Linked DNA regions of Drosophila melanogaster. The gene in region 2 interacts genetically with the main gene of each other region. Each region holds a gene or a part of one and is shown on either strand. Other genes may lie near its edges.

Region 1 (9,808 bases), on a different chromosome or scaffold from region 2:
GGAGCAGCAGGAGAAGCAGCAGGAGGAGCAGGAGCATCAGAAGCGGCAGCAGGTGCTCAATGCCGCTGGAGGGAATCGAGAATCAGCGCCAGGCTGCTTACAACGAAAGGACATAAACATAAATGAGCCGATGTAATGTTGAGCCGATGCTGCTGCCCCTGCTCCTCCTCATGATCCTGCTCCTCCTGCTCCTTTTTCGAGTCCTTCCGTCTCCCTCTATCTGTGTATTACAGGTGCCTTTTCGATCGCATCCCCTCCGAATTTTAATTGTGAGCCGGGCTCTTGACTTCACCTGCAACACAACTGACCTAAGACATCTTTTTTGCCCTTGCTCTTGGCCGGGCTCCTCACCTTTTTTCTTATTTTTTTTTTTCCTTTTTTAGCCGCAACTATTATTTTTATTAATAGCCAAAGTCAAAAGTCACCTGCCCGGCACCAAAAGGGCCAAAGAACTAGGGGTAGCCGGAAAACGGAACCGATTCAGAGGATGGTACGTGGGGACGGGGATGGAAAGGAAAGGACACGAATTTGTTGCGGGTCCTACAACTTCTTTAGACCACTTCTAAGATCAATTTCCTCTTCACAATTTCCCCCCGCGCGATCACGGTTTGCCCATTCAGCATTGTCTGCGTTTTGGGGTTGCAGCTTTTCAGTCTTTTGATAGCCACACATTTTCCATAGCTCTCTCCTTTGTTTCCATGGGGGCTTGCCCGACTGTTGAATAAATTCCAAACGGCATGACAAATTATGTGGGCTCAGGTGTTATGCGGAAAAGGGGTTAATAAACCGAGAGTCAGCGCTGCGGAGAAACTCCAGCATATGGCTGCGACCTATGTGTATCTGTATCTGTATCTTATCGAGTTTGCATTATGGAGTGCAAACTAATGCTAAGCTGCTTCTTGTACTTTCAGCGATTTGAGGTATATATAAAGTATATGCACAGTTCATTAAGCAAAGTATTAATATTCGTGATTAAAAATCTATGCACTTATGCTTCTGATTTTACGGATTTACCTTCTCTTTTATTGACTTTTCACTTCAATATCAATATCTTCAATGAAAGTCATATTTGCACAGAACTTGCGAGTCACTTTCAAAGTACTAAATTTGATAAAACGTCCGACCTTGAGTTTCGCAATCCACCTGGCCAAATGCCAACTCAATAGTATAATGATCAGCATCTACATTCTTTGACTTTTGATCCCCACTTTGTCGGCACTTGGCGTAAAGTCCTTGAACTGCATTTTTCTTCGGCAACAATTGAACTGCATATTTCTCTCTCCCCTGCCCGGTTTTCTTTTTTTTCAATATTTTGTCAATTTCGATCAATTTGTGGCGTGCCAAAGTCAAAGAAGACCAAGAACAACCCGACGATCGAGTTTGGCTGCAGAAAGTGGCCCCAAATAAAATCCTGCGGATGGGGCTCGCTGATTTGGTCGATTTCTGATTGCGACTGCCGATGAATGGCGATAATGAGGGAAGTCGGTGATTTGTAAACTGCCAAACTTCATTTCGGGCGTTTTAAAGTGCCGCAAAATGCATTCGGACATTTCGATTACCGAAAATTGCGATCAGCAGTCCTCAATGACCATTGCTCCATGCCCCCCCCCCCCTTCTCGATCCCCGCCAGCCCCATTTCTCACTTTATTTCGTCAGCAATTAGTTCGAACTTCGAACACTTATTGGCGTTTTCCCCAAGGATCGGGCATGCAAGTGGGCCGAGGGGGATGTGTACCTGCTGTAACGCGGCGACTTACAAAGGGCATTCCCCAAATGCCACATTGGGCACAGATCAAAGATCACCGCGTCACCCGAAACAGGAGCAACTTATTCCCCATCAATTGAGTACGTGCAGAAATTCATCTATAAAATCAGGTTTACGAACAGGCCCCCGAAAAAATATTTGGAGCGCTTTGGACAATTTGTATCAAAATGTGGTACTTCAAAGGAGGAGGCTGTGTCCTTGATACTAAGGAATTTCTCAGCTGCTCAAGGGGTTGATCGTAATAATGAGATATTTAACCCACCCGATGTAAAAACTTTTTGAATTAATAATACATACCAAAAATATATACATATGTATTAATCATATCATGTGTATTTTCTGATATGCCTGAGGATTTTGTATAAAGGAATCAATCAATCATTCTAGATATTTTATCCTTAAAAAAACCCATATATTTTGTTTGTTCTCTTTTAGCTTTCAACTTTATTTTCCAAAAATCATATACGCTCCTAATAAATATAATTACAATAAGTCATTGGGCTTATTACAAAATAAGAATAAACTAAAAATTCGCATAGATCGTATAAATAAATGTGGGTGATGCCATCAATAAACTTAAATAAATTAGGAAACTAAATTTAGACAAGTGGTCGCCAAGTGGTAGTTCATTTGTTTGAGGTTGTTCTTTGGTACGTTTAGCTGCCAATTTTGGGTTAAGTTTGAATCAAATCAAAAACGCTTTATGCAATAAATTAGATTAATCATTAAGCTAGGGTTTAACGGCTATAAAAAAGAGTCTTGTTTGGGATAACTATGTACAGACTTAAGGCAGTATCTTAGCTAATATGTTTTAACAATAATTCTTACGATTAGGTAAATCTTTGCGAAGGCCTAAACAAAACAAACTTTGGCTTCATAGCAACGACTTAGACTTAGGGCCAACTGTGATCTGCTCCACCTTCATCATCATCATCATCATCATCATCATCTGGTTTTGAGTGTGTGTCTCGTCCTGCTTAGCTAATACTGGGATCTCCTGGATCAGAGATTGCCGCCTAGCCTCGGTCAGCAGCTGCTGCTGCTCACCTCCATCTTCAGGGGCTTCAGGTCCTCCACTGGCGGAGCCTCCTCATGGCGGCTCTCTCGATGACGTCGCAGATCCACCTTGCGCTGGAAGGACTGATCGCAAAGGTGGCAACCGAAGGGTTTATACCCCGTGTGCTTCCTCATATGCGTGATCAGGTTGGAGCTCTGGCTGAAGGCCTTCAGGCACACGGTGCACTTGTGTGGCTTCTCGCCTGGAATCGCAGGAAAATCAATAAACACAATTAGTTAAATGCCGCTTCAAAGTTTATTAATTGTGGCCGAGAGGCGGCGGCAGCTTTACAGCAATTAGACAAATTGAAAGGCGATAGGGATCTGTGTGTGTGCTCAAGGGTGGCTCTGTTTGCACCACGTTCTGACACATTTGCCGAGGAATAGTTGGATACTCTCCCCATGGACTAGCTTTGATTTCACCGAATATTCAACTTACCGGTATGTATGTACGTGTGCTTTTTCATGTCCGACTTTTGGTGGAACCGCTTGCCACAATATTGGCAGGGATATGGCCGTGTATCGCTGTGGATGAGCAGATGTGTGGACAGGGTGGACGAACGCTTGAAGCTCTTGCCACACTGTTTGCACTAAAAAGAAAGACATAGACAATAGAAAAATACATTATTAACACCACATTCAGACAGAACGAGTCATGATTATTGGAACTCAGAATACCCCATATTTGCACAGCTTGAGCATATTCACACCAAAAAGCCAAATAATCAAAAAATCAGAAAAGAATTTATATATAAATTCACCGTTTTTGTGTGCCTGAGCCAAATTCGCAGTGGCAACATGAATTAAACTAGATTTGTGAGTGCTCAAATATTTGTTAGACAAGTGACGACAAGGGAAAACCCAAACCAAGCCAAACTTGGTTAGCCCACATCCAGGCGACAAATAATCTAGAACCTTAGCCATTTCTCAGCGCTGAAACCAGCTAGGTAAATATCTCGGCCCAATGCTAAATCTCAAGTGAGACACTTTCCAGGGAGCTTTAGCCATGCATATATGTACATACATTGTATATACCGCAGTATTTGTGGGCCAAACACAGCTGGGATCCACGGGGAATCGATCGCGGGGATTGGACGAATCCAGTGGCTGTAACATCTTCGGTTGTCAGATTAAATGTTTGAACAGTTTGCCAGTTGCAGCAACGTTGCAAGTAACCAAACATTGACATAACACAACTCAAATCGTCGGCCTACGTGGGCGACATTTATATTAAACACGAAAACATGAAAACAACGAAAAGTAAAACACAGAAATGGGTGAAAAAAATGTGAGACAATTTTTTTTTTGAAAAACCCGCATGGTCTACGCGTAATTGTAAATTGACACAAGTGTCGGTTTTTTAAAATTTCTTTCTTATTGATTTTTATGTTCTCTTATTTTTTTATTTTTTACGTTTTTTTTTAGCCTTGTTTTTGGGATTTTCTATTTGCGCATTGCATTCGCGTGGACCATATCCACTACACACATTGGCTAGACTCAGACCCAATTAGTTGCTCTATTGTTAAGCTGCGCTCAACTGCCTGAGCCATAATGTCAATTTGCTTAGCTCTGACAACGGAACGGAAGTTGGCAAAGCTCGAAAGGCAAAAAAAAAAAGAAAAAACGAGCAGGGAAACAAAAAAAGAGTTAAGGAGAAACCCCAAAGTCTGAGTCAGCCGGGTGGGCCTCCAATGGTGAACAGATGTAAAGCACGAATTACAGAAAAAATTCGATTTTATACATAAACAGCTGAAGAACAGTGACTGCGCCTGCGCAAAGGACTCTGGCAACTGTCTTCGTCGGCTTTTTGACCATATGTCGGTCCGGTACTGAAGCCCGAAAACCTATCGCATTTCACTCTGACCCTTTAATGTGTGAAAAAAAAACTGGAAAAAGATGTTAAAAAAAAAAAAAATAAGGACTCGCGGCGGGTGTTGATGGATATAAACGCAATATGACATCGGGGTAGGCATAAGGCCTATTAGGGTAAGTCGTCTCAAATTCCTGAGGGTCGTGTGCCCTCTTACCTTTTGCACAATCCAATATCGAATTATTATGATTGTAATTTGTACATAAATCTTCGAGGGCGAGTTATGCCCCCCACCGCACTGGCGCTAATCAAAATTATTTGATTAACTAATTGCGTGATTTCGATGGGACTTAATTGAATTTCCATAGAGCTCTATCGGTTTGGCTTGTATTACCAACTTTATGACAGTATTTGCTGTGCCACTTTTCCAAATTGAAAGTGGTATTGGTGGGGTTTTCGGCTCGGCGACAATTAAAACCCGCACGGACAAAATATGAAACAATTAACACAGGGGAATTGTCGAGGACACGCAACCTTATGCAATGATACGAACAGTATTCGTTTTGGGTTATAGATCATGGTCCTTCAGGACACGTGATAAGCCCATTAAAGCGGGCTGGGGGCTCAGAGATTTTCAAGCGATTTGCCCTCGATTTCCTCTTCATATTTCCCTACCCCTCGACGCGTTTATCCTGTTTGAGTTTGCTTACCTGGAAATTCCTGCCGCTGCGCTTCTCTTCGTTTTCTCCTTGGTAAGATGACGAGGAGGACGAACGACGCGCAACATCTGTGGCCGTCGAGTCAGGATGTTGCTGCTGATGCTGATGTTGCTGCGGCTGCTGCTGGTGATGCAACTGTTGTTGCTGCTGCTGCTGCGGCTGTTGGTGTTGATTACGCATGTAGCCGAATTCGGCGGCTGCCACCAAATTCATGAGTGCCGCTGCCGAGCGGTTATCCTGCTGCTGCTCGTCCTTGATGCGATGCTGTTGCTGCTGCTGCTGCGGCTGCTCGCTCTTCAGCTTCAAGTGCTGGGTGAGCAGCTCCAGATTGTTGCCCGTCAATCCGGCCATGAATGCGCTGCGATGGGCATACAACTGCTGTTGGGCCACCTCGAACTCCAGATCCTGGACGGCATTCGAGGCGGGAGCGGACAGCGAGGAGATCGGCGATTGCAGCGAGGATATGGATGCAGTTCTGCGCTCATACTTGAACTTTCGCACAATAGGATCCACCTGGTGCTCCTCCTCATCGCCCTGCTCCTCCATCTTCAGGCCGTACTGCTCCCTTCTCGCCGATCTCTCGCACATCGAGGCCGGTGACCAGATGATGTTACCCTGCGATCTCTGGCGCTGTTGCTGTGGTGTACTCGAACTCTTTAGATTCACAGCGCTCAGGGGAGGCGGGGTAACGTTCAGCGAGGTCATCGGATGCAGTTGCTCCACTTCACTGCTGGAACTGCTCCTGCTGCTGTTGTTGCTGCTGCTGTGATACTGATCTCGGTTGGAATCATCCGATGTGATGCGCTCCTTGGTGCTTAGATTTAGTGGCATATCCTCATCCTGCTCCTGATAGTCCTGCTTGCTGTTCTCATTGTTATTGTTCATTTGGAGTTCATGCTCCTTTTCGGGCGTCAAGGCAAAGTCACGATCCCGCTGACCCAAAACCACAGAGGCGGGCGATTTGGGGGTCATGGGGGTCAGTGGTGTACCCAGAGCCGTGGCCGAGGACAACAAAAATTGGGGCCACAGTAGGGCACTCGAGTAGAGCAGCGGGTTGTACAAAAAGGGCAGATCTATGAAATGCAAATTTAACGAATCAGTTGAATAGTAGTGATTAAGATTAGGAAGGAAAAGTATCCTCAGGATGCCTATCAATATAAAGTTACTCTTGTATTGGTAAGAACTACAGTAAAGTTAACATAATTTTTCTGATCTGTTGAAAGTGTTAACATTTTGATTTTAAATCGAGTGATCTTTTAAATACAATTCGAAACGATTAAAAAGCTATAAGCTAATCTTTTTGCTATCTTTACTGCCCCATATATTTTTCTGTCAATCCAGATCGGGAACTCACCTCGACCATTGAGTTTCTGTGCTGCGGCGGAGGCTATCACAGTGTTGAAGGCGGATGCCCGCTGCATCCACTGCTTGTCCAGAGCTGCTCCATGGCAGCCCAATCCCGCGGGACTCGGCTGCTGGGAGTGCGGCGATGGCGGCGGCGATAGGTGATTCATTTTGATTCTGGATCTTTACTTTTTGGAATCTCACTGGATCTGATTTACGTATTTGCTTTAACAGTCTTTGGATTGTGATTTTTCTCAATACTGTTCACTGCACAAATCTCACTTTCTTGGCGTTGTGATCTTGGATTCGAACGGATCTTCGATGGGTCTTATTCAGTGCGGTTTTATCTTGACTCACTGGAGACGAACACGTCCGTATCGCTCGGTGCTTCGCACCTGACTGAATCTTTGGTCGATGGCTCAGTTCTAAATTGAGCCAACGGTGAAGCGACTTGGCCCGAAAAAAAGGTACAAATCGAGCTCTCTTTTTTTTATTTTTGTGTGCGACTGTGGTTACTTGTGGCACTGTGTGAGTGCGGCAGCAAGCCGAATCAAAACGAGCCCTCGGTGTATTGGTGTTGACTCTTTTGGTGGTGGCTCTCGAGAGCCCTGCAATGTATTGTTGGTGTTGGTGTTCGTGTTGCCAACTCTGGTTTTTCACCTTTGGCAGCAGTTGGCGGCAGTTGCAGTCCTGTGTTCCATGTTGTATGGGTCAAGACGCACAGTTAGGAGTCCCCTGGCGATCTCGATACCCCAACCCCCTGCGTTCGTATCCTCTTGGCCCATCTACTACTGGTTTTCCAGCACGCGTTTCCCTACTAATTGGTATGCACTTAAAGTTTGGCGGGCGTTTGTTATCCTTTTCCCGCTGCCCTGTAACAGTTACAATTGCCTTTGCTCTTTCTGTTGCTGCCACCAACTGTTGTTGGCTCAGGAATATCGGGATCGGTACTTTGGCCAAGGGAGAAGAAGCGAGAGAGGGCCAGCAATCGGCAGAGGATTTCACTGCTGATCGGTGGAAGGGGGGAGAGGACGAGGGCGGGATGGGGCGGGGTAGCATACAAATATTTAGGTGGATGAATCCAAGGATCTAACATCTGTCGTGGCAACTCTCCATGTTTGTAGATACTGTTTAGATTACCTTTAGATTTGACAAGGATTACAAATGGGTTCCTAATTTTGAATGTGATGAAAATTAATTTTTGTATTAATTATTAAAAATACATTGCGAGTAAAATATAGGAGAAATTAAGTTTAAATTCATTTTTATTTGCGCTTCTCCCAATAAGGGTAAATAGTTTAAAGCAACATCGTGAATTTAATCTTTAAGCTTTAGACTTCATCCATAAAAAGTGTTATTACATTTTAGAGGATTGACGTAAACCTACTTCACAACCAATGCACAAATATATAAACTTTATTTAAATTATTGTAGAATTTTTTTTGTTATATTTCTATATAAAATCTACCTTACCAAAATGACATATTTGATTATAATAATGTTACATTTAAATACATAAGATTAGGACAGATTTTATTTAATAGCTATCAAAATATCAGATTTCCCATTTAAAACCGTTTTAACAAATAGTTTGGTTTGGTTTCAGAACATTAACTTTCAACAAAGTTTTTGTTAAATTTCTCAATGCAAACTTTGCAGTTCGTCGTATTTTCCTAAAGCATTTCAATAAAATTAAAAGACTGAATTCTTTTGTCAGTCAATTTAAAACCAATACCAAACTCTAAGCCATAAAGTCCCCATCTTCTCGTTGGATCGTAGCTATTAAACCACTCAGATAGGACGACTGAGCACCTGCCACTTTCTCCCTCTACCGCTCGATGCACCTTTTTCCGAGCTTATCCTTGATGAGAGTTCGGGGTCCTCCTCCTGAGTTGGTAGCTCGCCACGCTTGGCCACCTCGTCTTGGCCGCCTCAATTCCAGTTTATCTATCCTTGGCGCGGGCCACACCTGCCTAGAAAACGAGCCAAGAAAATGTGGCGGGCGCACACTTACACTTCCACATTTAACGATCCTTTTCCTTGTCAGCAATTTTAGTTCCCATCCCCTAGTTTTTGGCGCAATTTCCATGGCAGGACATGTGCAGAGTTGAGGCGACACCGAAATTCCATCGCACTCGTGTCCGCCACGGGTGCCGCCGATCTAGCGAAGCGGTACGAGGCACGCGGCCTAAAAGCGGGCCAAAATGGGGGAACTCTGGCTTCTACCATTTCGACCGCGATGAGGGCTGGCCAAGTCAAGTTGGTGGCATCGTTGCGCTTGGCGGCGTTCCCATACATATTGTTTATCTGGAGAACTGAGGGCGCGTGCTCATCCCCTGCCGCTTTGTAACGGATTCACCGTATGCCGCTCACACATCTATCATCGTTTGATATGCGGTACACTGAGAGAAATACTGTTTTGAAAATTACAATATTCCTGCATATAGAATCCGCTTAATGCAGCTAGGAATGCAGCACTGAGAAATTTATTGAAAAGGCTTTTACTTTAAACCGAAATCTATTATAGATTACCGCAACAAACATGTAAATAAGTTGGTGCTATTTAGTTTTAATATCCATTACTTCGAAATAGGATAATTCTATTTAAGACAGACAAATGTAAAAGCAAAATTCTAAAATTGAAAGTACGTGTTTAATAAGCTTCAAAACTAGAATTTTGTAATAAATATTATCACGATTGATACCAAAAGTCTTGAATGCATTTTGAATTATCAATCATTATTTTTTGTAGTGCATTGCAATGCATCACAAGTTCGAGAGTCGTATATAATTTCCATTCTCTGTTTTTTCATGTCGGCGACATTTTATTTACGACACCCTCAGCGTGCCCCTGCGTTTGAGCAAATCCCACACTCTGCCGCTCGGAAATTCGAAAATGCCTTTGCACTTGGCTCGTGGCTCTCGGCCAGCCGCTCGCTGATTGGCCAGCAGAACGCCGAGAGGGCGGGTAACACCTACACGGAACGGGTTTGCGCCTGTGTATGTGAGCCAGCTCGTGGCGAGGTGAGTTTCTGCTTCTGGCGAACATCGGAGGTGTGTGGGCCGTTTGGACCGTTAGATAGATGTTGGATTGGCCCAATGAAAACCCCCATG
Region 2 (5,866 bases):
GATGTTTGCTTAGCCAGGGCAGCCAAAGCGGACAGATGGAAAACGAGCAGAACACTCGCCTTTCTGGCTTTACTTCTCGGTGCAGTGATAAGCAGTTTTTCTAGACAGGCGTCAATGTCGTCTACAAGATATTTATACGCCTGCTGAAGCAGCGGCACATTCCGGATGAGCAGTGTCTCCTGGCATGTGCGCAATAGCAGCTTGTAAGAAGTTTCACCTGGCGATCGGAGCCTCACCTTCGTCATATAGGGATTGGATTGGAATATAAAGTGCACCAGGCTAGGCGTTAAACGTGCTCGCAACCTTCTCACCGTGCAAAGCAGCAGATAAAGGACACTCTGACGCTGCAGCTCTGTCAGAGAAATCATCCGTTTGACCTGATCAAGCAGCACCTGCTCCAACAATATCGGATCAAGGCCGGTAAAGTTATTCAACAGACAGATGCAGATCAGTTCGTTTATATTGACCAATGCCTCCGTATTCAAGTGCAGGGTGGGCATTATTTTGATTAGATGATCCACGGCCATCTTTACGATGCATTCACAGGTGGGCATGCCCACGAATATCTGCATGCGGGCCAGGCACTTAAGCAGCGTGTTAAAGGCACCAACGAAGGCACCCACACGCTCCGCTGTGTTTGCGGGTTCCCCTTCCTCCAGCGTGGTGATATCCTCGACAAACTGGTCCAACAATCCGTAACTGAAATCGATCTGCTTGCTAAAGAACGGCGTCAACTGCTCCAGTACCTGGGCACAGTGGGTCTTCAGGTCCGTGGGCTGGCCGGCCTCCAGTTGCCAGCCGATAACGATGTCCACTACGTCGGTGAAGTGGCACTCGAAAGTCTCCGCATAGCTGGCTGCAAACTGCACTAGCGTGTTGCTGACGACAATAAAGATATCGGCGCTCTCTGCATTCTCCAGAAAATCCTTCAGCAGCAGCATGATTTTGTCGGCGTACATGTGCAGCTCGCACTTGGTGTCGCAGCTGCATTTGGATTGGGATGGGTTATAAAAAAGACGAACAATGCTAATGGAGAGGGCAGGGAATGTGTCACCTCAGTGTGGCGCGGAGGGCCATGATCATGTACTTCTGCATGCGCTTGCTACTCTTGTAGTTCTTCACGATAAACTCCTCGTAAATGGGATACGACTTGCGGTTGATAAAGCCAATCAGGCCGAGAGTCTTGCTGCACTCCTCTAGAACCGGCGGCGGGCATTGCTTGTATAGGGTGAGCATGTTGTCCAGAATCCACACGAAGGAGCATGTCATGTAGCCCATGTTGATAGGCGTGCGCACTGCTTGATCCAGTTTGCTGCACAGCTCCAGAGACACGGTGGGATTGTTCTCGTTGATTAGCCTGCGGATGATCTTGGACAGACGCAGATCTTCGCCATTGGCCATCGGGTTGATCGTATCGCCTGTTAAGATGGAAATACAAATTTAAACGAGTGTCGCAGCTGTCAAAACTGTCAAAACTGTCGACCTACCTTTGCATTGGTAAGCCTTTCGGTGATTTTGGACCACTGGCTGCCCTTTGCCCACAACATGGTTCATGTTGCGCAGCAGCAGTGCGTTGGCGAACGCCTGCGCAACGTCGTGCGACTTACCACCACCAGGTGACCACATGGATTCACTGCCTCCCAAGCCGGCGATATTGCCGCTTCCGGTGGCGCCACCCCTCCCGCTGCCATTACCACCGCCGCCTTCGTTGCTGCTGTCACCGTGATTGCCATTGTTGTTCAGCAGAACGCGGTCAATTTCCGCGTGGAACGCGGAGGACGCCTCCTCCTCGGTTCCAGCTCCATTGCAGTTTTCTGGGTGGATCGCGTTCTTCATAGAGGGAATTGGCGGAGCTAGCGCAGACATCGAATGCCTCCAAAGTTCGTCATTAACCACTGTTTCGCGTGGATATTCTTCGATTAGTTTATACTAATTATTTCGTTCTTTTCCTTTTCTTTTCTTGCTGCAACAATCGTGCCAATCAGTTATCGATAGAAACAGCTGACGCTGGCGCTCAACGGGCCATCGAATCGATGTTCCTTGTGTAATTTTTCACTGCACCACGACTGCAATGTGTTCTGCCATTAGAATGCTTGACAGGAGGACTGACAATGTCATCCAAATTGTCCAGGATTCTTTGATTAACACTTCAGAGAATCGTGACACGAGGACTTCGTGCGTCAAGGGGAACTGTTGAATGCAGTGGGTATCGGCCAAAGTGGCATCTCTGTTATATTTGGCGCGCGCAATTTTGGCTTGAAATTGAAATTACAGCTACTTTAAACTTTATTTCAGAAAATTAAGCAAAATACATTGTGATTTTTGTACCTAGATTAAATTTGTAAATGCGTGGCGTACTCAAGGAATAGCGTTGAATATATTCCTGAAACGCCAGTTAAATCACCAAATTTGTGGCTTAATAGTTTAGCTTTCCCATCATGTGCTGGGTGTACACGGCCACAAAACTGGCCATTTGGGCGTACATCTCGTACGGATGCTTAAACGGCAGAAATCCATAGCTTCCGGTAGGCGGAGAACCCATCGGCACTGGCATTTCCATGGACGGGGGCAGAGAAGGAGGCGGACACGGCGGTGGCGGCGCCGGCTGAGGCGGACATGGTGCGGCGGGCTGCTCGTTTGGCACCAGCGACAAACATATGTCGCCCACCTGCAGCTGCTGGCATTTGAGCTCGTACAGCTGCAGCGACAACTGTGGATCGCAGGAGGCCCAGCCCTGTCCGTAAACAAACATTGGATGACCCGGCTGCACCTGCAAGTCCATCTGAAACATTGGTCAATGATGAGACGAATATGGGTACAGATTGGCGAACCCACCTTGGCGTGGTGTGTGTCGTAGCTGAAGGTGAGTGTCACCAGGCTGGGGCATCCACTCCAGTCTATCCTCACTACTGTCGCCTCTCGCAGCTCAAATAGTTGACTGCGCAGCGCCGACTGGATGAAGTCCTCGGTGCGTATGTCCTCCACGCGACGCATGGCTCCGCTGGCCAGTTCAATATAGGATCCCCGACGGAAGCAGGAAGCGGAGTCGTCGGAGAACCCACTAAAATTGAGGCAACTGATTAACTGGATGGGAAAAAGTGCCGAATCGTTTGCTTACTTGCTGGACCAGTGCTGTTGCGACGGAGGAGGAAGAGACGGTGGTTGCCTCCCGATTGGATCGTAGCCGCGGCCATAGGAGAGTTCCATGTGCATCTGCATGTCGATCTGTTCGTCTGGACGGAAGCTCGTCAACTGAAGTATTCCCTGCCCAGGCTGGCAATTGATATACACTTATTCATTCAGCTCCAGCGTGTTTTCCACGGTTTTTCCAGGAATGTCACCCACTCGGACGGACGGCCGGCCGACTATTCCGCCTCGTACCTGTTTTATGGCCCAAAAGGCCATAATCTGGTCGTGCCAACAGGTACGTGGCACCTTAGACGCCGCCGGTGACCGCTACCTGCCCACCGAATTCTGCTTAACAGCCATTGTTCGTTGTCCATTGTGCCGATCGGACCAGAGAATCCCGTCCAGCGGCGCCGAACTGGCTGTTGCGCCAGGCGCCTTGAAGACTGCTCGGCTGCACCACCAGCACTACCACTCTGAATGCAAGACGTGACCAATTGCGGATTTCTGCTGAAGCCCTTTATAGCGCTCCGTTTATTTGGTTTTTCGTTTTCTCTTAACAGCGGCCGCGGATGTGGACGATGCGATGGGCACCTTGCCCCAGCTAATGCCCAGAGCGTACAGATAGTAGGCCCCAAAGAAGTAGAGCACTCCCAACGCCGAGTACACGGAGGTCAGCAGTAGGGGCAAGAAGGGCAGGCGCTGGTCCAGGTGCAGCAGGAAAGAGAGCAGATGCTCGTACAGCGGAATAGCCATGAAGCCCAGCATGTATAGCCACTCCAGCGTGTGGAAGCCTCGGAAGCCGGGGAAGATGCGATACAGCTGGCCGTACATCATGGCCACGTACGACATGTACAGGGAATACCGGGGAATGTACAGATCCGCATCGAAGAGCAGCGGAAAGAGAGAGAAATAGCCGGCAATGCCAAGGACATAGGCGTATCTGGCATCCTCCCGGTTTACCAGCGTGAGCAGACTGAAAAAGGGTGGGCCTGTTAGTAGGATTCCTTCATTTCGAATTAACTGAGGGGAAGGGAACTCACCAGAGCGGAAGGAGCACCATTAAGATGGCCTTCTCGTGCACATGCCAGCCGAAGACGAAGGAGGAACAGCCGCACAAAACCACCGCTCGCAGGAAGACCAGCGGACTTTGTCTGCAAAGAGATGGCGGATAAGTTTGCTGCGATATCTTGGAATCCAAACGAGGATTTCCTCACTTCTTGGCACTGCGAAAGAGCTTCACCAAAATGGGCAGCATGAAGAGAGCGGTCAGGGCAAAAGTCACAGGCGGTGTGATGGCTGGCAGCACCGAGTGCCTGACCTCCTGGACCAATCCTGACGTCGTCGAGGCACCGCCATCCTGTACCTTCAAAACTCCGGCGGCCAACTTGTCGGCGGCATTGTACAGCGCCCAGAAGTTGGGTGCCCAGTAGGCGTGCGTTAGGCCACGCTTGAAAGGAAACAGACGGGAGAGGACTTGCGGCAATTGCTGCCAGAAGGGTCCGAAAGACACGGCGAACGGAGTAAGTCCAACGACCAGCAGCTTGACAACGGCACCCACCGCAGACACCACACTCGCTTGCTCCAGGCAATAGAAACGCAGCAGGTAGACCCCAAAAGCGGGCGCCATGTACAGAAAGATGTGCTTAAAGTTGAGCAGCACGGCGAAGGCAAAGGCGCTCCAGAGGAACCGCTGCCGGATGAGGGAACCGATGCTCAGGAGCAGTATGCCGAACAGCAAGCCATTGTACTGAAAGTGAATGTGGTCCACGAAGATCAATCCCACGTTGAGGAGCAGCAACATGGAGGCGGCAAAGAACTGCTGCGTATCCCTGCCCAATCCCAGTGAGCCCAGGCAGCTGCGCACGCCGAGCACATACACTAGATCCGTAACAATCACCGAGAGCCGCTGAAAGTAAACGGTGGCCTTGGACTCGTAATTCAGGTTATCCACCACCAGCATTCGTGGATCCACGTACTTGGCCACCTGCGAGAGCAGCCACTCGAAGTAGGCGAAGAACGGCGGATAGTCCAGTGTCCACTCGCTGGTGGCGTCCACATACCACTGATTCAGCGGCAAACTGTGGGTGATGGCCAGCCAGTTGCGATGGACTTCGAAATCCGTGGAATGGCTAAGGATGAAGTTGATTTAGTGGGCTTGATAAGTGGACAGAGCACTGCATTTACTAGGCTGGAATCAGCAGGATCTTTAGGCCGGTGGCTATGCCCACCAGGTGCCAGAAGAGGTCCTTCATCTTCGTTTCTCTCAGGGATTGGGATTGTAGTTTAGATTCGATGCATTCCTTATCAGCGGTAAGTGCTGTCCGATCTGGCTTGAAAGCGGGCAGAATGCGATTGTCGATTGTGCCGGCTAAATGTGGCTTGGAAGTAGCCAGTTAGCCCGACTAAAAGCTATCGTTATCGGGCTGTCCAGTTTTCGCCCTCACCGCCGCCTGGTCACACTGACGCTCGCGTGTATGCATGTGTGTGTGTGTGCATTACATTACGCATTTGCTTTGCGAATTAGAAGCTAATTAAAGCGAATATTGTGGACTCGAGCCGGTCGCCAGAGTCCCACGGTTGCCGCCAACGCCGAGCTAAGGTCTCCAGCCAACCGGGCCATGTACGCCACCAACAATGGCGGCACGAACAAGGCGCCAAACAGGTAAGTTCCGCCTCCGCCAGCAAAATCTAGCGCCCCTCCCCCAAAAAAACAGGCGGTACAGCCGAGATTTTTAGT
Region 3 (7,180 bases), on a different chromosome or scaffold from region 2:
GAAACAAGGGTTTAATTTGTGACTGAAGGGGATCTGACTCCAAAGGAGGCACCTACCACATGGCCTGCACTGAGACCGGCTTAAATATATGCGTTTTTTCGTACACTTTGACGCTGAATCCGCTGAAAGCAAGATAAGATAAACCATTGAAATTAAGGAAATGCACATCACACGTTTATCAGAACAAATACACTCTGCCATGCTATTATTAAAATAGCTTAAGATAAATTGGAAACAAATGTGCGACATAAATGCCACCGCTCAACTAGGAAATTGGTCAAGGCGACACCGATTTGTGTATAGATTAGGGGCGGCTAATTTTTAAATTAATTCTATAAATAATTCCCAAGGTTAATAGCGACAATTAGGCAGTTATGAGTGCATGACTCTTACGAGATGAATGCCCAGTCTTACCCATCGCCATCCAGGTGAATTGTGGTGTCCGCCAGGATGGGCACCACCAGGCCAATGGTGGTCCGCTCGTTGCAGTCTATGCCCAGCAGGCAGGACTCCTCCATGCCCGAGGTATTCTTGTTGTCGCCGGCCGCCGTTGCGTTTTCCTTGTCTGCTGTTTTATCACATTTGCTGCTGGCCTCTGTGGCGGTCTGCTCAACGGACAGCTGACGCTGCGTGGGGACCGCCGGGGAGGTGGACGACTTTGTTCCCGCGGATCCACCAACTTTTACCGAGTGGTGACGCATGATCCGGTGGCGCCGACGGTCGCTGGTGCCGCTCCGACAACAACTACGCGATGCAATCACCAGATAGCGCGTGCGGTTGGACCGCTGTGACTCCAACTTGACAGCCTTTTGATAGGAATAGAAAGATATGTTTAAAAGATAGACAAAGTAATTTTACATTGGATACGCACCATCTTTAGCGTGTCCTCGCGCTGCAACAGGTAAAACATTGATTGCAGGTGGAGCTGGATGTCCGAGTTGTTGCTTTGCGTACTGTTACTGGAGCGGGTGGAGTCGGTGCTCAGGCGACGCTCGCTTTGCGTCAGGGGCGGGATATCCTTAAGAGCCAGTACCAGGGCGGTTCCCTTGCCGGCAAAGAAGCACTCGCTGCGATCGTTTCCTTTGCTATTGCCCTCGTCGTCCTCGGACTCGCCATCCTGATGTTATAGAGAAAGGAAAGTTGTTTACTCGGTGTTTAAGAATACCTTATCCTGCTGCACCTCACCCGTGGGGTTAGGCTAAATATAAGGATGTCGTCTGGCAAAGAACAAACTTGCATGCTCATTATTTTGCAAAGGGGTAAGATAAACTCCTGATTATAGTCTACACTTCAAGGGCGGAAAAGAAGCAAAGCTGTATCTGCAGTTCCAAGAAATCTGATTGTTCAACTGAATACCGTCTGATTTTGAGAAAAGGGTCACAAGTTCGAAAAAGATTCCGGTTTAGTGAAGTATTTTTTTTTTTTTTATATTTTCTGATTTCTTAGAAATAATAAAATGTTAATTTATGTGTTCAAAAATACCGATTTGACATATTGAGCATATCTGAATTAAAACGTTTTGTAAAATTAAATTGATCAACCCCCGATATTAATTTTTCCCTCTGTGCAGGCGGACGTCAAGGTCTCGCGAACTATTTTTGGGCGGTGGGGCGGCGAAGAAAACAAAAACAAGCGGTAAGCGGAAAGCGACAAAAACGACAAATAAGGCAATGCAAAAGTCTGTTGAAAAATATAGACGTCGCGACGTCTGCGGATTTGCTTGGGTTACACCAAAAGCAGCGCAGCGCAGCACAGCCGATGACGATGATGACGCTGCCTCATACCGCCCACACGCGAACGTTGAACGTCGAAATCCAAAAAGCGTAAGCAACAAGCTGGCGGATGATAAACATTGGGCATGAAAAGCACATCCGAGCACACAAAGGATCATGGCCAAAAGCGGAACACGCACTAAAGAGCCTGCCCGTAATTGGCTCTCCTGGCAGAGTGGGGGTGACCAAAACAAAGCACACACGCATACGCACACGCGAAAACCATCAAGTCTCCTCTCACCGAATTCGAGCAGGAGCCCGCCACACTGGGAGAGCGCTGCACCGTCACCAGCGCCATTTGTTGTTGCCGTGGTCGTGGACGTCGTCGTCGTCGCCGCAGCCGCTCCTCCACCTCCTGCTCCTCCTCCCCCGCCGACGCCTCTTGACCCTCGTGTTCCACCTGGCGCAGATGATGGCGATGCTGCAGCGGTGTCCCTTGCAATCCTCTCCTGCTTCGGCTCCTTCTGCTCCACCTCCTTTTCCCTGTGTGTGAGTGTGCGCGAGAGTGTGTGGTGTGTGTGCAAGTGTTGTGGGCTAAGGCTACAAATGCATTTTCATATCGCTGCCTGCTGGCCGTTGTTTTTGCAGTCGGCTCCGCGACCTCGTCCTGCGATCGTCTTGGTTTCCGCTTTCCGGACACTCTAGCCAGGCGGTTCTCTCTAAGAAACAGCGTGTCCTTACAATTAACGGACACACACAACGCTGCTAAATGGTAAATAGACTACACGAATTTTTCTTAAAAGAAAGACAGTGAGGACGCCATTTCTAATCGATAACACTAGTATCGTCAGGCAATCGTTCTGGCAGGGCTGGCTAACTATCGCAAGCGAAAGCAATGTTCGTGTGGTACACCGAAAAAAGTACTTATTAATGAGAAACGCAGTGATGTTTGTATACTTCTTGATATATCAGTAAAACAGGCTTTAATACATTTTTATGTACTCTTGCCTTTTTGATGATTAAAAATCAAAAAATTAAGTTACATTAAGTTATCATTTATCGAATAACAAGTCAAAGGTAGTCAGAGGTGGTAGCCACTGCACAGCTGTTTAGTGTTGGAAAATAACAACAAGCCGAACAGATGATTGTGAAAATCAGCTGGCCCAAGAACAACATAACAAGCGAATGCTTCCGGCGGTTTGGATCTTTTAAAAGACGCTCAAAATCGAAGAAAATGTCAGCATTCATCGAGGAAACAAAAAGCCTGCTGCCGCGGATCGCCTTCATAGCCTGCGGATGCTTCAGTCCACCCACACCCATGCACCTTCGGATGTTCGGTGAGTTAAACTAGATTGTGAAATTCTGCGGTACATAATCGATAAAATTACGCGGCATGTTTTTGTCAACAGAGATAGCCAAGGACCACTTCGAAATGCAGGGAACCCACAGAGTGGTAGGTGGCATCATCTCGCCCACGCACGACTCATATGGCAAAAAGGGTCTGGCCTCCGCCTTGGACAGATGTGCCATGGTCAAGCTGGCCACCCAGAGCTCCAATTGGATTCGGTTGTCCGATTGGGAGGTGCACCAGAATCAGTGGATGCGCACGCAGGCGGTGCTCCAGCACCACCAGAACTATATCAATAACCACATAAATTCCGGCGGGGGAGGCGGAGATGACGGGGAGAACACACATCTACCCGGATGGCTGCCTCGTGGGTTGCACGACAGTCGGGATCCTGTACATCTGAAGCTACTGTGCGGTGCCGATCTGCTGGAGTCCTTTGCTGTTCCAGGCCTATGGGCAGAGGCCGATGTAAGTCTTGATATATTTGAATAGTACCTTTTTTTATATGATTGTTCCCAGATTGAGGACATTGTGGCTAACCATGGTTTGGTAGTTATCACCCGGGCCGGCTCAAACCCAGGAAAATTCATCTTTGACTCCGACATATTGACCAAGTATCAGGTTAGAGAGACAGTACCTCGACAACATTATTTCTTATTCATTTCCATTCACATTTCAGAGCAACATTACGCTAATCACCAACTGGGTGCCTAATGAGGTGAGCTCCACGTTGATTCGGCGGCTCTTAGGACGCGGCCAGTCGGTCAAGTACCTTCTAGACGATCTGGTGCTGGAGTACATCAAGCGCCAACGATTGTTTAACTTTAAATCGTAGGTGGTCTTCCTGTTACCTCCCCTTAATCCTGCATGTTCACTTACAATTACCCATCTTTCAAACGATACGTACACTGAATGAGGCGCCACCTTAATCCATTTCACACAGCAGAGAACACACTTAACGTGCACCACCAGCAGTCTTTGTATTGTTTCCTTTTATGTCTTAAACTGCAGGCGGGATGCACCGGCTCCGACCGAATGCGACTCTTGACGCGCTTTGCACGTGAAAAAGAAGCCCTCGTCGCCCACACGCTTTCCAACCCACCAGCACCGCAAATCGCACCACTTGCCCCACCAGCACCATAAGCTGTTTGAGCCGTGGCGCCTCTTCATGGAGCGTGAGTGAGCAGAGCAGATCCGAGTTCAAGTTCCTATTTAGCAGTGATTCCTTTAATGCATGTTTATTTTTGCCCAATCTTAGCCCTTGTAAATACCCTTGTTAAATTAGCCATAGTTTTGCGGTGGTCAGTGTGCGTATCATCTACTTACACCGAATTGTTGCCAAAATGTAGTCCCATTAAACAATAACCTTAACTTTGTTGCTATTGTACTGACCATGCCCGCCTAACCCATGGAATGTAGTAAGTATATAACGGATGCGGTGCGTCCCAACCATTTGCTCTTTAACCACGCCTATACGGACAACAACAAGAACGCGAACAGCTACTCTATAGGCGACCAGCTGGAGCAGGACATGGACGAGTCGGACACTCCAAGCCCGCAACTGCAGCATACGCCTACGTCGCGGGTTTTCTGCTGCGGGGAGGTGCCTTTACGTGGATCCAAGGTGCTGCGATCCGGTCCTGGACAAGCGGTGCAGGTCATCACCATGCAGGCAGATGAGAAAGAGGAGGTGGGTATCCTTAACCGCTGTATCCATTGCATTTCATACATAGATGGAATCCAGAGTTTTGCTTTCAAACTTATGTTTAGATCCTTCTAATCAATTCCCCTCTTTCAGAGCCAAGCAAAGAAGCAGAAGATTTCCCAAGTGCAACTTTAGGAAACTGGAAGACGAATCTCACGCGGATTAAGACAGGGGCGCTGGAAGCTATTTGTTGATATTATATAAATATGCAAAATAAACACGTTCGTTACCAAGTTGACGGCTGCCCATGCTTTTGTGGGTCACTTCACGGAGTGGAGGGACAAGGCATTGAACTTCAGGCGACGTGCATTGACATTGCAGTCGTTGCAGGGCTTCGCTTTGGTGTCTGATGTCAGAACTTGTTGATGGTAATATGCCAGTTGCAGGCGAGAGTGGCCACCATTAGTTTAAGCTTAGAGGGACTGCAGTTGCTTGCTTCCCTTGGAAGAGTCCACATCGCGAATGTTCTTCTTCCGTCGCCAGAATGCTAAACCCGCGCCACGCCCTTCGCGCGCTCCGTCCTTTGCGCTTCCAAAGCGTCGGCCTCCTGTCCAGCTAACGCCCTCGCATCAGCACGACCAGTTGCCCTTCCTGCGAAGATCGCGGTTCAGCGCCCTTCCCCATTTCCGCGCCTACGAGGACGAACCGGAGAACCTTTCGCTTTTCATCGCCATCCTGTACGTGGTGGATTTGTTTGGCATCTTCCCATTTGTCACGCTGCCGGCATTGCTGGTGAAACTTGGATACTTTGGCATCCTGTTGGTGCTTTCTATCATCATCCTGCAGATCTATACCTCCTTCCTGCTCTCCCAATGCTGGACCATGGCGGAACTGCTTGATCCTTCAATTCAACAGAAGCGCAACTATCCGTATGCCGCACTAGCAGAGCTGGCTTACGGTCCCTATATGAGTCTGCTGGTGTCCGTGCTGCTCGATCTAAGCATTTTCGCCATGGCGGTGCCCAGCGTGGTCATGGCTGCCCAGAATCTAGAGGGCGTCGTGCTGCGCATGAGCGCTGGTCAGTACAATTTCTCTTACTGCTACTGGGCCATCATAGTCGGCCTGGTCATCTGCCCGCTCATGTGGCTGGGAAGTCCAAAGCACATGCGGTAAGATAAATTTCAGGATAGGATTATTTGCTTTCTATCAATGCACTGCATTATCCTATTTTATAATTATCCCAGGGGCTTGGCTATCATCGCAGTTTGCGTGATGATCGTTATTGTGGCGCTGTTGTGGTTCTGCCTTTTTGCAGCTCCTGCAATTGGAACACCCTTTGAGGGAATCTCTTTGGGTGGGTATTGGTCTTAGGGCATATGCTTAAAATATTCTAAATTGGTTTTTCTTAGAGCTGCCCGGTTTCCTTACCGTGCTCAACAGCTACAGCATATTGGCCTTCCAGTTTGACATCCACCCCGTCCTGCTGACCCTTCAGATCGACATGAAGCAAAAGTCGCAGGTTTCCTGGGCTGCGCTCATCGGAATCGCCAGTGAGTTGCTCCTCCAATCCGATTACAGATGGATATTAATTTCATTCCTCTCGATTAGTCACTTGCAGCGTGGCCATCTTTGGCTCCATCATAGCCGCCTATAAGTTTGGATCGATGATAGCTGATAACTTGCTGCAGTCTTTGCCCACCAGTGTGCCCTTCTATGTGATGCTCATCCTAATGGCGCTCCAGCTTTGCTTCTCCGTCACGGTGGCTAGCTCCGCGATGTTCATGCAGATCGAGAACTACTTCAAACTACCGGAATGTGAGCCTCATTTTAACTTAAGTTAATGATCTAGGAATTTCATTCCACTAAGAAAGACTTTTAATGAGTTCCGTCATAAGATTTTTCAATACATTAATCTAAGTCAACGTCATCAGCTAATCCTTCCTTTTTATAGCCCTCTCCTTCAAACGCATGCTAATCCGCTCTTCAGTGCTGGCCTTGGAGGTCCTAGTGGCGGAGTTTGTGCCCAGTTTTGATGCCCTGATGGACGTGGTGGGTGGCACCATCACCGGACCCCTGGTGTTCATTCTCCCGCCACTTTTGTACCGCCGCATCCGGCGAATGGAGCGAGTTCATCAGCGAATCGCAGCGGAGGCGAGCTATGGTAGTCTGCCACTGGACCTCAACTACGATCCGGTGGACCTTGAGATGGAACCACTGCTGGTGATCTCGCCGCCGACCACGCCACGCGGCTGTTGGCTGAGATTCGTTCGTTTGCTGCATCGCCTCGAGTGCGACGTGTCCTGCACCATGGCGGTGCTCATCTTCGGCCTGCTGGCCACCTTCCTGTCGACCTACCTAAACATCTTCAGCCTGGCCAGTCTGTTCACCAACAACTCGCCCTGCCTTAGCAATCTGACCAAGCACTTCTGAGGATCGGGGTCTTTCCCCCAGCTAGAAATGAAAATTAAGACTTTG

The links. A genetic interaction does not mean that the proteins touch.
Region 1: of Atx-1 (region 2) and sens, changing one suppresses a phenotype caused by changing the other (phenotypic suppression), as found in Drosophila melanogaster (one study listed by BioGRID).
Region 3: of Atx-1 (region 2) and Nmnat, changing one suppresses a phenotype caused by changing the other (phenotypic suppression), as found in Drosophila melanogaster (one study listed by BioGRID).

Annotation. Positions count from the first base shown.
Region 1 is NT_037436.4:13,394,044-13,403,851, forward strand, and holds sens (senseless), read right to left. Parts: upstream 7,083-9,808; 5' UTR 6,865-7,082; coding exon 6,705-6,864; intron 6,424-6,704; coding exon 5,342-6,423; intron 3,412-5,341; coding exon 3,261-3,411; intron 3,025-3,260; coding exon 2,792-3,024; 3' UTR 2,185-2,791; downstream 1-2,184.
Region 2 is NC_004354.4:6,820,608-6,826,473, reverse strand, and holds Atx-1 (ataxin 1), read right to left. Parts: upstream 3,271-5,866; 5' UTR 3,220-3,270; coding exon 3,119-3,219; intron 3,062-3,118; coding exon 2,836-3,061; intron 2,783-2,835; coding exon 2,417-2,782; 3' UTR 2,271-2,416; downstream 1-2,270. Other genes in the region: nonC (no-on-and-no-off transient C), read right to left, coding at 1-984, 1,055-1,418, 1,488-1,836; xit (xiantuan), read right to left, coding at 3,661-4,102, 4,170-4,280, 4,344-5,258, 5,314-5,381; Nf-YC (nuclear factor Y-box C), read left to right, coding at 5,748-5,791.
Region 3 is NT_033777.3:24,942,405-24,949,584, forward strand, and holds Nmnat (nicotinamide mononucleotide adenylyltransferase), read left to right. Parts: upstream 1-2,832; 5' UTR 2,833-2,853; coding exon 2,854-3,049; intron 3,050-3,121; coding exon 3,122-3,528; intron 3,529-3,579; coding exon 3,580-3,681; intron 3,682-3,739; coding exon 3,740-3,891; intron 3,892-4,071; coding exon of another isoform or gene 4,072-4,108; exon of another isoform or gene 4,109-4,429; intron 4,430-4,479; coding exon 4,480-4,750; intron 4,751-4,858; coding exon 4,859-4,900; 3' UTR 4,901-4,996; downstream 4,997-7,180. Other genes in the region: ssh (slingshot), read right to left, coding at 57-122, 415-806, 872-1,117, 1,186-1,245; mah (mahogany), read left to right, coding at 5,228-5,874, 5,950-6,059, 6,115-6,255, 6,314-6,520, 6,657-7,135. UniProt on the Drosophila melanogaster protein: Catalyzes the formation of NAD(+) from nicotinamide mononucleotide (NMN) and ATP. Essential for viability.